Linked DNA regions of Medicago truncatula. The protein of the gene in region 1 interacts with the protein of each later gene in a pairwise test. Links are inferred from orthologs where the notes say so. Each region holds a gene or a part of one and is shown on either strand. Other genes may lie near its edges.

The links.
Region 2: the proteins of cleavage and polyadenylation specificity factor subunit 2 (region 1) and flowering time control protein FY interact in binary tests that used the Arabidopsis thaliana proteins (3 or more experiments, as listed by UniProt). The link is inferred for Medicago truncatula from reciprocal best matches to the Arabidopsis thaliana genes CPSF100 and FY.

The regions. Positions count from the first base shown.
Region 1 is NC_053042.1:20,055,631-20,063,566, reverse strand, and holds the start of cleavage and polyadenylation specificity factor subunit 2, read right to left. Parts: upstream 3,012-7,936; 5' UTR 2,832-3,011; intron 1,189-2,831; 5' UTR 1,176-1,188; coding exon 761-1,175; intron 684-760; coding exon 557-683; intron 469-556; coding exon 353-468; intron 126-352; coding exon 31-125; intron 1-30. UniProt on the Arabidopsis thaliana protein: CPSF plays a key role in pre-mRNA 3'-end formation, recognizing the AAUAAA signal sequence and interacting with poly(A)polymerase and other factors to bring about cleavage and poly(A) addition. Required for antisense-RNA-mediated gene silencing.
Region 2 is NC_053049.1:14,642,374-14,650,009, forward strand, and holds the start of flowering time control protein FY, read left to right. Parts: upstream 1-4,629; 5' UTR 4,630-4,795; coding exon 4,796-5,099; intron 5,100-6,758; coding exon 6,759-6,850; intron 6,851-6,971; coding exon 6,972-7,040; intron 7,041-7,483; coding exon 7,484-7,588; intron 7,589-7,636.

The sequences.
Region 1 (7,936 bases):
ATATAAGTGTAAGTCTTTTCTTGTACTGACCGATTCCAGCATCAGAATAAGTTCCAATATTCGTCCAGCAGTGTCAACAGGTAGTAACACATTGCCACCTGCCCTTAGAGTCTTCTTTAAGATATCTAAATAATCAACAAGATATATGATCAGAAAAAACAAAGTATATAGTCTAGACAGTTTTCTCGTTTCGTGATGAAGACTTTTTAATGCTTGCATGCCTTGTCTTTGAATATCCCAGGCATAAAAATATTTCAGTTTTCTCTTAATAGCAACTCAAGAAAACAAAAAATGAAAAATTCACCTTATTTCTGTCAAGGTGTAGCAATTATAAGATTTAAATGTTAGTTACCTCCAAATTCTTTGTCCTTTTGACGTCTGTAAGGCTGATTATTCAAAGCATTATAAGCATCGGTTATTAGAACAGCCGGGCGAACAAAAGAACCTAGAACAGTTCCGTTCAAATGCCTAGTGAAAATTAGATTGATAAGTAGCTTACTTTCTTGTCGTTAAGAATATGCACGTTAAATTTTGGAGAAGTAAAAAAATAATTTACCTTTCTTTCCTATGATTGAAATCAACAGCATATATGACATCCTCACCATCCTTTGTAATTTTCCATATCGTACCTCCCAAAAGATGTCCAGCAGTATGTGGTGCAATGACGATTCCCTCTCCCTTTCCTAGTATTGGTTAAAATGAATGTCATTGATGGTAACAAACACATAATAAATTGAGGAAGGTGTTATGTTATTGTTACCTGAGAGATGATGATTCTGAGAGTATGTTAGCCTTGTTACAGTTTGGAAAGCAGAATCAATATCATCTAGAGTGAAGAGATCAAAGTCGGACACTTGCTTTCTGGAGAGGAAGTGGTCATACATAGTGAGAAGTCCCAATCTATAAACAGGCTCAGTTGAATAAACAGGAGCAGAAAGTCCAAGATGCTTAATGGCATATGGTAAGGCGGCAAGGTGAAGTGTATCAGGATGTGAAAGTAAAACAGCATCTATAGTTGATGCTACCCTGGAAAGGGGTTGAAGGAGTGAAGGGTCGAAGTGGTCATTCCAACCACAGTCGATGAGGATGTTGAAAGAATCAATGGAAACCAAATAAGAGAGAGGGTTTTCATTGTAAACTCCACAAAGTGGTGTTACTTGCACTGATGTTCCCATGATCTGCCTTCTTCTGTGTGTCAAAATAATAACATAAAAACCGATATGAAGCAAAAAGGAAAATGCATTCAGACATTTGAACAAACAGCTGATATCCAATCCAATTACATGAAACAAAAGCATCAATTTTTTAACATTCCGAAATTCCAATTCTAACTAACAAACAACTTGGTCATAACAAAATTTCATTTCCAATTCCCAATTTTGAAACACTAAAACAAGAAATTGGAAAATCAATTGGCTTACCTTAGAGTGAATAATGACAACTGAGAGAGAATTAGCTGTGACTAGTGGTGACACACTGGTTGTAAGAGAGAGTGAGAAGAAGAGAGTATGCAGTGTCGTTTGATTTTTTTCTTTTATTTTTAAAAAATCGGGCAATAATCATCAGGTGTGGCTATATGAAATCTAATGGGCTCCGTTTACGGTAGGGCTGTAGGAGACATTTTTTTTAAATGAATATGAACCATTGGATAAGGGTTGGATCAAAATACTTTTTTTTTTTTGAAGGAAAATAGCTTATAGCTTTTGATTAAAAATCAACGTCGTAATACAATGAGGTACATCATTAAAAGTATGGGGACTAGCTAAGAAAGTGGCCTCTCGTGCAAGAGTGTGAGCGACCTCATTCGCTTGTCTCCGACTAAACTCTACCATGGAGTTTTCTAGATACATATCACGATTTCTCCGATACTCGTCAATTATTGCTCCAAACTCGGATATATCATTGCAACCTCAATTAAAATAATCTACAACCGTCTTGGCATCCAATTCAAAATCAACATTATTGAGTTGCAGTTCATGCACCCAACGGATGGCGTATGAAAGTCCCAAAGCTTCTCCAACATCCGACGGACAAACAGGATTCGACCACATTGTTCTTGCTCGAATAAATTCTCCAAATTCATTCCTGATGCAGAATCCAAATCCTACACAATTTAAAGCTTCCGAAAACGACGCATCAATGTTGCACTTTAGCCTGCCATGATTGGTTTCTGCCATCGATTCTGCCCAATCTGCACACTGCTGGACACAAATTTTGACTGCTGCACATCTGTAATCGGATCAGCAGACCTGCCAGTCATTCCACCTTGCTGTCGCTTGCTGTTTGCTACACGCCAGTTGACCAACAGCTTCTGTGCGCGTGCAACAATGGCCTGCAATGTCTCTACTTCATTCTGCCATAGTTGTAGGTTACGGCTTTTCCACAAACTCCACAATACCGAAGCAAATAGCTCAGCTTGAGCATGAGACAGTTCTTGTAACAATGCGAAAATGAACTCAGCCGATGTGTTATTCCGCAGCATTACCGAATTCACTTTGCTTAGATAAGGGTTGGATCAAAATACTTATTATATATCTTCAACACTCAATTACTTTCTTTTATTCTAGTGTATTTATCTTCACAGCCACACAAGATTACAAAAAATTCAGTCTACTCTATCAAAGATTCACATAACACCACTTAGGACAATTTATCAAACACCTAAAAGGCAACAAGTGAAATGCATGCAAAAATTCATTCATCCTAAGCCAATAGATGAAATCTAATCTTTTCAATGCATAAATAACGCATAAAAATCCACATTAACTCAACAACAAAAGTTGCATTTGAGAAAGAAAAAAATCACCCAAAATCAAAATCGATGAACTTACTTGATTGGAAGAATAAAACGAAAATGAAGGTTGAGTGAGTGAGAGATGAATATAGAGCGGTGGACTTGGCCGTGAGAGATGTGATCGCCGGCGGCTACAAGCAACTCCGGCTATTTGAGTTCAGTGCTCGTTTCTGATGGAAAAAGAGCCGAGAGAATTCAACTTGGTGATAAAATATTGAGAAACAATATTTGTACATCTATTTTTTTGACAACTTTTGAAACAACATCTTTCTTATATTTACATATATTTTTATTATTTCTCTTCTTCTTTCTTTCTATTGTTTTTATCCAATAAAATGAGGTGAAAAGTGGTTGTCACAACAATTCCTCTTTTTTTGGTTACACATATTCCTTTAAAATATTTGTAACACATATTGAATAAAATAAATATTTTTATATTTTATATAAAATAAAAATCTTCTCATGAAATAAAAACAAACATATAAAATATTTGGACGAAGCCGATGTGGATTGTTGAGATGTTTATGCTAGATAGAAAAATAAGTTTTGTTACAAAATTACATATTTTTATTTCATGACGAGAAGTTTTTTATTTAAGTAATACGGCAGTCGTATAATTTTACTAATTTAATAACGAGTATAAATTTATACGAGTCCATGAACTTAAAAAATATTTATTTTATTTTACATGTGTTAATAATTTTACTAAATCCAATGTGTCAATTTTTGTTTTTACTAAATTCTATAAATATCATCTGCATGTGCATCTATAAATTTACGAGTACTTAAAATATGAATTTTTTTTTTTATTCGTGCTTACTCATTAAGATATTGGTCTTATACCAGCTCGTGGTAAATTTATATGCAGATACGTTGCATACAAAATTTTGGTCGTCCTTAATTATAAGTATAAACCGAACAACGTCAGATAAATACACTAATTTAAAATAAAAGAAAGCAGTTGAGTGATGGAAATGTATATTAAGGAATTTGATCCAACCCTTATCATATGGTTCATATTCATTTTAAAGGAAGAAAAAAACCATGTCTCCTATATTAGAAGACCTATTCAAGTCTCCCATCGTAGACGGAGCCAATCTAACAACTTCTTCATTTATATAACTGTCCCCTCCTAATTTTTATTTTTTTTACAGTTTAACCAAAAAAATTTCAATGGGTAAAATGGTCCAAAATTTATCATGTGATGGTTTAAAATTGTTCCATTTTTTTATCCTTTTTTTTTTCTTCCAATATTGTCATCTACATCATGAAGGTGAGAAAAACACACAAGAAGGTGGGTTGAATTGTGTGAGTCGTTTCTTCTTGTAAGGTGTTAAGAACAAATCTGGACAAAATCTGATGTTTCATATTCTGACTCAGAGTCTGAATGCAGCGGAAATAAATAACATGCAGATTAAAGATAAAGAGTCAGAGAGAGAAGAAAGACACAAATCAATTTATACTGATTCTGTCCTTCAAGGTGTTACTCTTCGTTACAATCCATACATAGTTCATCATGTAAATAACACGTCACATCGAAAAATACATCCTCAAAACATAATCTAATAACATAAATAAAATCCCAACAGTCCTAATAAGAGCACCACTAGTCAAGACTCCAAAAGGAAGCGGTAAAAGAATGCTTCAAAGCCATCCTCGAAAACTCACAGCAACTATACGTCCAACCCGCAGCAAATGTCAATCATCATCACAAGATTATAAACATGTATATTCATATTATATTAGTTCTCATACAATTCACTAAGTCGGTATAACAAACTTCAATCATCATCACAAGATTATAAACATGTAATCACATCATCAAATAATCGTCAAGTTGAACACATTGCATTCACACATCATTGCCATTGTCGAATCACACATTTTTCAAATAGTCACACATAGTCAAGTACACATCTTTCGCATAGACTCACATGTAATGTCCCTAACTTGACTCTATATGCATGTGGTACCGTTTTTGAATATCAGAGGTATGTATTTGAGTGATACCTCATCGTCAAATATTTGGATAATCATAAGCATATTACTGATTAATCCACTCATCGTCAAATATTCGTCGTCAAATAGGACAGACCATGAATGCATGAACATCACATCATGACTCGACAAATAAAATCAACAACATTGTCATATCATCATTGTATAAACATCATCATATATCATATCACAATATTTGGATAGAAATCTTGGTGATTTTGCAAGCAATCTTGGTGATTTGTCTGCTTTTTAGGCGAAGCTGATAGGTATTATTCTTGCTTTGGAATATGTGGCTTCTCATTCTTGGCACAATATTTGGATAGAAAGTGATTCGACTTCTGCGGTTCAGGCCTTTAAGAATGCTGATATTGTTCCTTTCCGTCTTCGGAACCATTGGCATAACTGTTTTCATTTGGGTCTCCAGGCTATATGCTCTCAAATTTATCGTGAGGGAAACTGTTGTGCAGATAAATTAGTTGAGTATGGACATGCGGTTGTGGGTACTGTTTGGTTAGACTCCATGCCTTCGTCTTTGTTGGCTGATTTTTTCCGTGATCGTATAAGTTGTTGAACTATCGGTTTCCTTAGTTTCATGGTTGCACGCTTATTCTTTCTGAGGATCTTGGCCTAGCCCCCCCTCTTGTACATATTATTTTCTCTTTTTTTTTTAATAATATTTATAGAGTATGTGGTAGATAATAGAGGTTTTAGTTGGGTACCAACCTAGTTTGGACGTTTATGTTGCCTCTTGATGTCGTCCCTACATCTTTGCTTAGAAGAAAGAAAGAAAAAAAGATACAAAATTTAGTAAAAATGATTTTTTAAAATTTCATGAAATCTATAAAACGTCACTAATATACAACAGTAATTTCACTATTTGATGAAATTTATTAAAAAATTCAATTAAAAAAACTATGGTAAACCTGTGTTTTACGCGAAATCTATCAAATTAATTGCACTTAAAAAAACTTTTTTCATCAACTTGTAACCACCTTGTACATACAAAGACAATTCTGCTTAGATAGGAATCTCATAACCCTTCTTTATCCCAAAAACCATTCTTAAGACACAATGCTTAATTTATACAATAGCATCATATCATCAATAATGTTTTGAGTTTGGATCTAGCCAAAATGTTTGAAGTGTTTTACCTCGTTTGTGCCTGCTAAATGTGATAAAGGGGGAAAATGCAATTTATAAATCTCATTTGAGTTTATTGGAATAACTGGTGCCATTCATTCTGAAAATTTATATATTGTCGCTGACTTCATTGCAACATCACAGGTTGCTGATAAAAGTTTGAGTGTACTGTCAATGAACCATGAGATATTCATGGGCAAAGTTGTCAAATGTGCATAGACAGACTATTGCATGTTCCCTAAAACTTTTAAGGTAAGTTAAGTAAGAACAAAAAGCTGCATTGAATTTATACTTCCAACAAATAACAACAATGAAGGAGGTGTTTGCAGAGTTTTTTTTTTTTGAATCGGCAAAATATTATTAACCAACAAGCCCGTGCAAGACGCACTAATAAGCTCGGGTGGAGAAAAAATACAAAGAAGGGGAAATCAGTTGCCATACAAACTCCGGCTCGAACAAAAATCCCTTTAAAAACCACCCATAAACTAAGGAACACACCACAAGAGTAATGACGCAGGCATATACAAGTGACAGACCACAAGCATACCCCTGCATCAACACCAAAGGCCGCCGAAACTACTAATAACAGCCAAAACCTGGCAAGCAAACAACCACCAGCCAACTGATACGTCTCGCCCCAGCTGTTAAAACATACAACAGCACTGCTGCCACAAAACCAGGTAGCGCACAGACCTCCTAGCACCGCACCAAAGCTATACAAGCAGACAAGCCAAAGAGCACTGACACCCAAGCATACCCCTGCCTCACCAATCAATATACTTCAGCAGCAAGATGCCGAAGTAACATGAAAACAGAAAATTGAAAGTGGCAGCCGCACAAACCAACTAGCCAAAACTGCACACAAGCCTCACAGTACTCGTGGAAGACAAATCCAACAAGTAACAGCAAAAACTATCCAAAACCGAAACACACCCAAAGTCCTCAAAAGCTGCACAAACCAACCTGCATAGGAATCCCAAACCAAAAGCTTCTACCTCACGAAATACACCGCACCCAAGGACCAAACTATCATCTAGCAAGACAATATCTTGGATTCCAACACCATTCATAGAAAAGGCATGGCGGGTTATTCGTCCTATTCAACATCCATCTCCAAGACAAAACCTTAATCTCCTCAACTATGTCATCCACCACTCTACTAATACCCTTAAAGATTTTGTCATTTCTCGCTTTCCACAAAGTCCACATGGTTGTGTGCCAAATTAACCATAGTCCTTTAGTTACTTTTTTATTTCTTTCCCCACACTCCAACACTCCCAATGCACAAAGAAATTAGATGGAATTAAGAACAAGACCTCCAACCACAACATAATATTTAGCCACACCTTAGACGCCACTTCGCAGTGCAAGAGAAGATGTATGGCCGATTCTTCCTTCAAATTACACAACACACACAAGTTTGAGGCATCCGGTGGTAGAACATTCCTCAAGGCAAGATTAACTCTAGTTGGGATACGATTAAGGAGTACCTTCCAAGTAAATGCAATCACTTTCGACGGCGCTGGACTCTTCCATAATTGATCAAACACCCCTCTTTCCTCTTCATCCCACAAATCTTCCTTCAACACCACTCCCTCCAACTTCAAATATGCCGACTTCACCGAGAAAAAACCATTATCTTCTAATTTCCATCTCCACTCATCCTCCTCATTAGACCAAACCATACCCTCTAAATCTTCCCGAAGGCTAGTAAACAACTCCTCCTCCCACACAAAGAGTTGTCTTCTCCAATTAAAATTCCAATCCGTTCCTACCCCCGAAGCCGCCCCTATTTCTCCCACCGTAGCCTCCTTTTGGGTTGAAATTGAAAAAAGTCTAGGATATTTTTGAGCAAAACTCCCTCCTCCACGCCAAATATCCTTCCAAAAACTAGTTTTGAAATCATTACCTACTTTCCGGAAAACCTCCGAATTGAACCAACCTTGTGCTCCACCAAAGTCTTCTAGCTTCACTAAATCTTCCACCAAACGGAAGCATTCCTCG
Region 2 (7,636 bases), on another chromosome or scaffold:
TTACGCATTATTTGACTAATTACCTTGAATACTTCTGATTGCACCGCACCTCCTAGCTAGAGTGGAGCAGGAAAATGATACAAAATTTCATCAATGAGAGTTGTTACTATATTGTCTTGGCAGCTTATACCAATTTGATTTAAACATCAATGAATGTTGACATAGACTATGAATATTTTGAGGCTAACACTTAAAATCTCAAATATTTTCATTACAGGTGAAAAGAAAAGAAATTATACAAAATGAATTATTGGTATGCTTCACACGGCAAAGCTAATACATTTGTATTGCTAATTCATATCTGCAATTCAAACCAATTTTTTCCAAACTCATTGTATTCTTATTTGTTTGAGGTTGATAATTGTGGTATGCCATAACTTGGTTATGGTAAGCATGTAATCTATTGTGCTGTTTTGCACACTCTTGTACTATTTCTCTTGACAATTCACCGAATGTTTTTATTTTTCTAGGTAATCCATGATAGGGGTAGTGACATTATTATCAGGGCAGTGAATGCGGCTGCGGCAGCTCGTGAATACCGTCTTCAAAGATGGAGTGCATATTTGGACAAGTGCAATATGGCTTGTATTCCCTAACCAAATATAATAGGTCAAGTTCATACTTGAGAGTTCATTTGTTTCATTTTTGTGTTGTGACTCTGAGAGATGTTTCATTTTTCAGTCTTTCATAAGTAGCATCCTAACATGGATATGCAGTACTGGAATTTTGTTTAATTTATATAATATTTCAAATTTTGTTAGAATTATTCATTCATCGCTTTCATTTTAATCTAATAGGTTATTGGTCCACGTGGGATCAACTACCATTTAGGAGTAATATCTACCGATGAGTTTGGGTCTGTTCTTGAAATATGTTACAATTATTCATGACTATATGCAAAAAAATGCAGCAACATACACCTGACAAAGCCATATCATATCGAACGCAAGTTTGGAGATGAATAATCTGAACTTCACATCCAAGCATTATGTGTGCAGCAATATAAAACACTAAATCATGGTAACCAAATGCTGACAACAACAAAATATTATGAATTGACAAACAAACAAGCAAAATTACATTTTCAATTTTGAATTATTACCATTATAATTTTAAAATATAAAGTTTGTGAATTCATAAAGTATGTTTGGAAATTCATAGTCATAGTGTCATTGTGAGATGGATTTGGATCAAAGCTTGGAGAATTATTGCGTTGCGTTAAAATTGCTAAGAGACTTAAGAATTTTCGATGGGATGCAAAACTAATACGCCTCAATTTAAGTATGGATCACGTTCTCGAGTATAGAGATAGAAGTTAGACTTAAAGGAAAATATTATTATTATTCTTTTTGAAATTTCAAACTGGCACACCAAATTTGGCACGGGGAGAATCTGAAACCTTGAAAGGAGCACATTCTAAGGTCGCAAGTCAGCACCATCAGACCAACCCAAGTGGATCTAAAAGAAAGGAAATTGATTATATTTTTCATTGATTTTAATCATGAAGCATTACAATGCTTATATAAGTTAGTGCGTACTCATAACAGATAACTATAAAAACTGCAGAATAGCAATGCTAAGTAGCTAACAATACAAATATGCCTAGAAGATCCTATCAATAAGATAAACTATAGCTAAGTCATCATTCTCTTACCCTCAAGATCCTGTCAAAAGGCTATGTAAAGAAGAGGCATTCCTAGCTGAAAAGCTTCTAAATGTAGACAAAAAAAAAAAAGACCAAATCAGCTAAAAAATTGAAAACTTGTGTAGAATCAGTAAGTCTGCTAAAATCCATATACTATGTTGTGAAATTAATTGCAATAAATAAGTTATTGCTTAAAAAAAAAATTAAAATATTATCTAGATGTTTCATTGTATATATCATCAATATTAAATTATCTTTGTTTTTTTTTGGTAGTGTTGCATTATCTTATTTAAGAGAGTAAAGATAGTTACATGGTTAATTACATTGCCTAATCTTGCAATGTTGGGGAAACAAGGTTGGAAGTTATGACTAACCCGAGTTATGTTTGATGTAGCATTTGGTCTTCCTAAACGTTGTTAGAGGAAGGCTACCAGTGGTAGATTGGGGATGGTAGGAGTCTGGTGAAATTCTTGGCTGCGGTGTGTTGAGGAGCCTTTTATAAAGACAGCTGAACCAAGTGAAGCTCAAGGTATTGCTGTGAGCCATATCATTGAGAACAATGATGGAGCGTGGAATGGACACTATCATTGCGGGTCCATTTTAATATAATCAAATTTTGAATAGATATTTTTCGTTATTTTTTATTCACAATTTCATTAACATATAGTTTTAAACCCTATTATAAAATATGAAACAACTCAAAATAAAATTAAAATATGTGGAAAATTACTAAAGCAATACTAAGAGATGTGTGGATAGCATTGTGTACCATTAAGATATCGATGTTGTATAAAATTGGCCAATTAGGTTCCAAAATAATACTTTTAGATAATTTGGAGCAAAGGAAAAATAAAAATTTGGAAAAATATTTATTAGAAAATAAAGTATCTCAGAGATTGAATTTTTCGAAGTTAATTTTTTACACCACATGACCTAAGGTCCTGAATACGCCACTGACCATATTTATGGTATAAATAGACTCCACCTAATATTCATATCACTCGTTCAAAACTTTAAAATTGACTCCACTTATCTCACAATATACTCCAAAACTATATTTTATATCATTATTTTACATTAAAAAGCTTTTGAAAAAAATTTAAAAGGATGAAGGCCCCCATTGCCAAGGTTGGAAACCTGGTAAATTAAAGCCACCACACTTTATGTTAAATATTTATGATTCTCTGACAATAAGGCAAAAGTTTGCAAAGATGCTCTAATGATCCTCTCCATTTATAAAAAAAATAAATACAGCATGTTATTTAGAAAAAGATACACATAAAAAAAAGATCGTGGATCTTTACCAAGCATAACTAGGCACATGCAAATACTTGGGGCTACCATCTATGATCAGAAGAAGCAAACAACATTTGGCTACATCAAGGATCAAATTTGGCAAAGAATAAATTCATGGAGTAATAAATTCTCATCGAAGGCGGGTCAAGAGGTAATGATAAAGTATGTTTTACAAGTCATATGTAATGAGTATTTTTCTTCTTTCGAAAACATTGATAGACGTTGTTTAAAAAAAATGATGAATGCATTCTGGTGGGGACATGTTGGAGCAACTAACAGGGGAATTCATTGGATGTCATGGGAGAAATTGTGAGTTCACAATTTCTTTAGTGGTACATGGTTCAAGGACCTCACCTTTTTCAATGTTGCGATGCTCAATAAACAAGTGTGGAAACTTCAGTCTAATGTGCATAGCCTAGCTTGGGTCACATATCTGTTAAGGATCATTATTTTCCAACTTTTGATTTCTTTGGGGCTAAAATAGGTACCAGACCGAGTTATGTTTCGCATAGCATACTTAGTGTAAAAGATGTGGTGTAAAGAGACGCAAGGTGCACTATTGGCACATGTAATAATATCCCTTTGATGGACCAACCTTGGTTAGCCTCCGGTGATAGTAATTAGGCCATACACACATGTAATGCACAATTTCTTTCTATTATGTGTTAGTGAACTAATAGATCAGATATCAAAATTGTGGAAAAAAACCTCTTGTTAATTATTTGTTTGATCTTCACACCGCCACTCAGATCTTAAATACACCTCTTTTCCCGCAAGTTACTAATGATAGTTTGGTATGACAATGTAAGAAAAACGATTGCTATTATGTTCGTAGTGCTTACAGAATCTGTTCATAAGTTATTCAAACATGAGAAGATCCGAATAATTCCATATGGAAACTCAAGGTACCGCCAAAAGTGAAAAACCTTGTGTGGAGAGTATGTCGTGATTGCTTTCCTACTCGTGTACGACTCAACAATAGAGATGTTGCATGTTCTTCAGAATGTGTTATGTGCATTGATACTGACGAGGATTATTTACATGCTATTTTTACTTGTTCTCAAGCGTCGCAAGTTTGGCAAGCTGCGAACCTAAGGAATATTGCAGATAATGTCGTAAATGAGTTTGATAATAAGACGTCAATTGTATTGTATTTACTAGATCAACTTCAACCGTCATAGTGTTCTTTATTTACATAAGTCTCTTATAGTATTTGGAAGCGGCGTAACTTGCCACCAAGACCGAGTACTATTAACAGGGTTCAATGTCAGAGTCCCACGTAGACAAGAATATAATGTTGATGGTTCCTTCTTTACATCCCATAGTAAGGTTGGTATCATTATGCGTATTCGAGATGTATACAGGGGTTATATGCTTTCTAAAACAACATTGTTTACACCGTGGACCAATTAAACGTTAGCTCCAAATTATTATGGTCTTGTAGTGACATCTTTTTTTGGTGGTGGTCAGAGTTCGAACCCCGAACCTTGCATATTTTATGCATTGTCTATACCAACTGAGTTAAACTCACGTGGACGTCTTGTAGTGACATCTAATGAGATGCAATGTTTTCTTAAAAAAAAAAAAAAAAAAAGAGATGAGATGAATTTTTCCATGTAAAAAAAAAATTGTTGAAAAAAAACTACAACGCACGCACAATCCATTTGTAGTTAAATTAAAACGGCGTCGTCTGCGGTTAGTTTTTTCTTTCTCTCTCATCATCACTCTTTCCTTCCCGCTCCAGATTCATCGTTCTACCTCAATCCCAACCACAATTTTGGGGTTTAGGGTTTTTCTCCCCACACTGCTCTTCAATCCCAAATCCTCATTCTTCCAACACCATAGTTAGTTACAATGATGTACAATGACCCTCATAACCCTCAACACCAACAACACCAACAGCACCAGCAGCAACAGCAACAACAACAACAACAGTATCAGCAACACCAGCAGCAGCAGCAGCCTCCGCATTTTCACCATCAGCAGCAGCAGCAGCAGTCAGGTCCCGGTCCGGATTTCCACCGTGGACCTCCGCCGCCGATGCCTCAACAACCTCCGCCTATGATGCGCCAACCTTCCGCTTCTTCGACGAATCTCGGATCGGAGTTTCTTCCTGGTGGTCCCCCTGGTCCCCCTGGTCCTCCTCCTCATTACGATGGTTTGATTTTTCTTCTTTTTGTTGTTTTTATCGAATGAAATTGAATTGAATTGAATTAGAACACATATGCTTGTTAGGGCTGTTTGGATTGACTTATTTGATTTTATCTACTGGCATAAGTTTTTGTGTGATTGTTTGGGTGAATTTATGAAAACAATTTATGACATTGTTCGTAAGCCGTTTTTAGCTTATTTTTATAACTTATGGAGATAGCTTATATGAAAACAATTTAATTTAATTTTATCTTTTGCTATAGAAATAGGTTATACATAAGCGCTTATCAATTATCATGATATCGTCCTGTGCTATAAGCTGTTTATACAAAAAGGGCCTATTTTGTATGATAGTTTGTTGTGATTGCTTATACAGTGCTTTGGTGTGTATATGTGTGTGTGATTTCTAATTATTTGTTTATTATTTTAAAAGAATTGTTTGATTGGTTAAGTAATGCACAAGTTTTCACATCCAAGAGTTGTATCTCTATCTTATTTTTATTTTGTTAGGATTGTAATTTCCTAGTTGATGAGTGGAGTGAAGTAGTGAATTTATTATGAACTTGATTTTTGGACAGAAAGTTTGCGATTAAATGGTTTGGTGGTAAGATGGGCGGAGTAGATGAAATGTGATGCGAGTTTAGTAGCATTTGAGTCAGCAATATTTTAGAGGTTAGGTGAGGTTTGCTTTGGGTAATTGTGTTGGTGTTCCCGCAAGTTGGAGATTTACGTATGATGGATTTAAGTTCTAAAATGATGGGGGTGATTAAAGGGGTATGTTATTATGCTTACGAATTATGATTCAATTTGGGTGATTGAACTAGAAAAATGCTTTAGGTGTAATTTGTGATAACGGGTTGATTATCAATAGAAAGGAAATTGTACTTGACAGGATGTATGTCTGGTGATGCTATATGGTGGGAGTGAAGGGAACTGTTTGTCAGTTGATTGGTGACAACTGACAAGAGCAAAATACAAGTATCACTGTGATGAGAATGCAATTGTTGAGGTGGATATTGTAGGGAAAGATAACATAAGGAACGGACGGGTATTAGGGAAAAAATCGGAGTAGCACATGCCAAGAAAAAATAGTATTAACAATGCCTTAGATGGTTTAGTCATGAGAAGATGACCACTAAGAGTGAGAGGTTTTAACTTTTAAAGCTCATTGGGATCTGCTGAATATGCAGTTTGTTGAATGTTTGCCATAATTTAGTGTACGTGTTTTGGTATGAGTCAATTCTTTGAAACCTTATTTTCTTTGGATGAAATAGTAATATGTTTTTGTATAACCCTTTGCATACATACGGTTATGAGGATTTTTTTCCGTAGGCATTGAGTTGACATGACAGGCTAATTTGTTGAACTTTTGCTTTTGAAACATATTTGTTTCCGCTCTTTGGGACGATAATCCATAATTTGATTTTGCTACTCTTTCCCCTTCAACAGTTATTATTTTATTTATTCAGAACGAAATTATCTTCTACCGCATATATGAGATAGGTCTTGATATGTTAGAAAAATGTCTATGCCCTCACATGTAGTTCAAGGCATTAATATTTATATATCTTCTCCATTGTCTATAAGCTTAGCTAAATTTGTTGAACTTTTATGATTTGGGATATTTTGACTATTGTAATTAAATAGTGAACGGTTTTACTTACAGTTCATAATGATAGCCATGGTGCAAAAAGAATGAGAAAGCTCACTCAAAGGAAGGCAGTTGATTATACGAGCACAGTTGTGCGCTATATGCAGGTAATGATTGCTGCTTTAATAATAGAATCACAGTTAAGTTGGAAATCTGTTTGGTTTGTTCATCTCTATCTGTGTGTAATCCACCTTGGAAATTCATGGGTAATTTGAAATCTTCCTTCAGATTCGTATGTCACAGCGTGATTCCAGAGATAGGACAGTACTTCAACCTACGCCGGCAGCAGCAATTGATGTGAGCGAGCTTCTCTTTTATGTTAATAAGTGTCACGAAACAACTATCAAAAACCTTAAGTTTCAATTGAGTTCACACGAACGATCTTTATATTATATATCTTTCTTAAACCCTCTCATGCAAATTGGGCTTGAGGGGTGGATAAAGCAATGACCCACCACCAACCTTTCACTGAATTGAACTTTTTAAAAGAATGGGTGTCGCAATGGTTGAACAGCAGACAGTTAGTCAATGAGCCTCATGTTAAGAACTAACTGTCCCAAGCGTTCATGCATTTTGATAACTGACACATGAATGAATTTATATTATATCTTTAAGATTAAATTTGAAAATGCTATTTACCTTAATTCCAGAAATGCAGCTTGGTAATTTTTTTGATAAACTATTGTTATAATAATCAACCTATTTCTCTATACTTTAACCTTATGCTATTTTTCATGCAGATGTTGCCAGCAGCTGGCTATTCAGACAATCCATCCACAAGCTTTGCTGCTAAATTTGTTCATACATCTCTAAATAAAAATCGTTGTGCTATTAATTGTGTTCTTGTAAGTTATATAATTTAAATCTTGTGAACATGTGGTTGACATATGTTT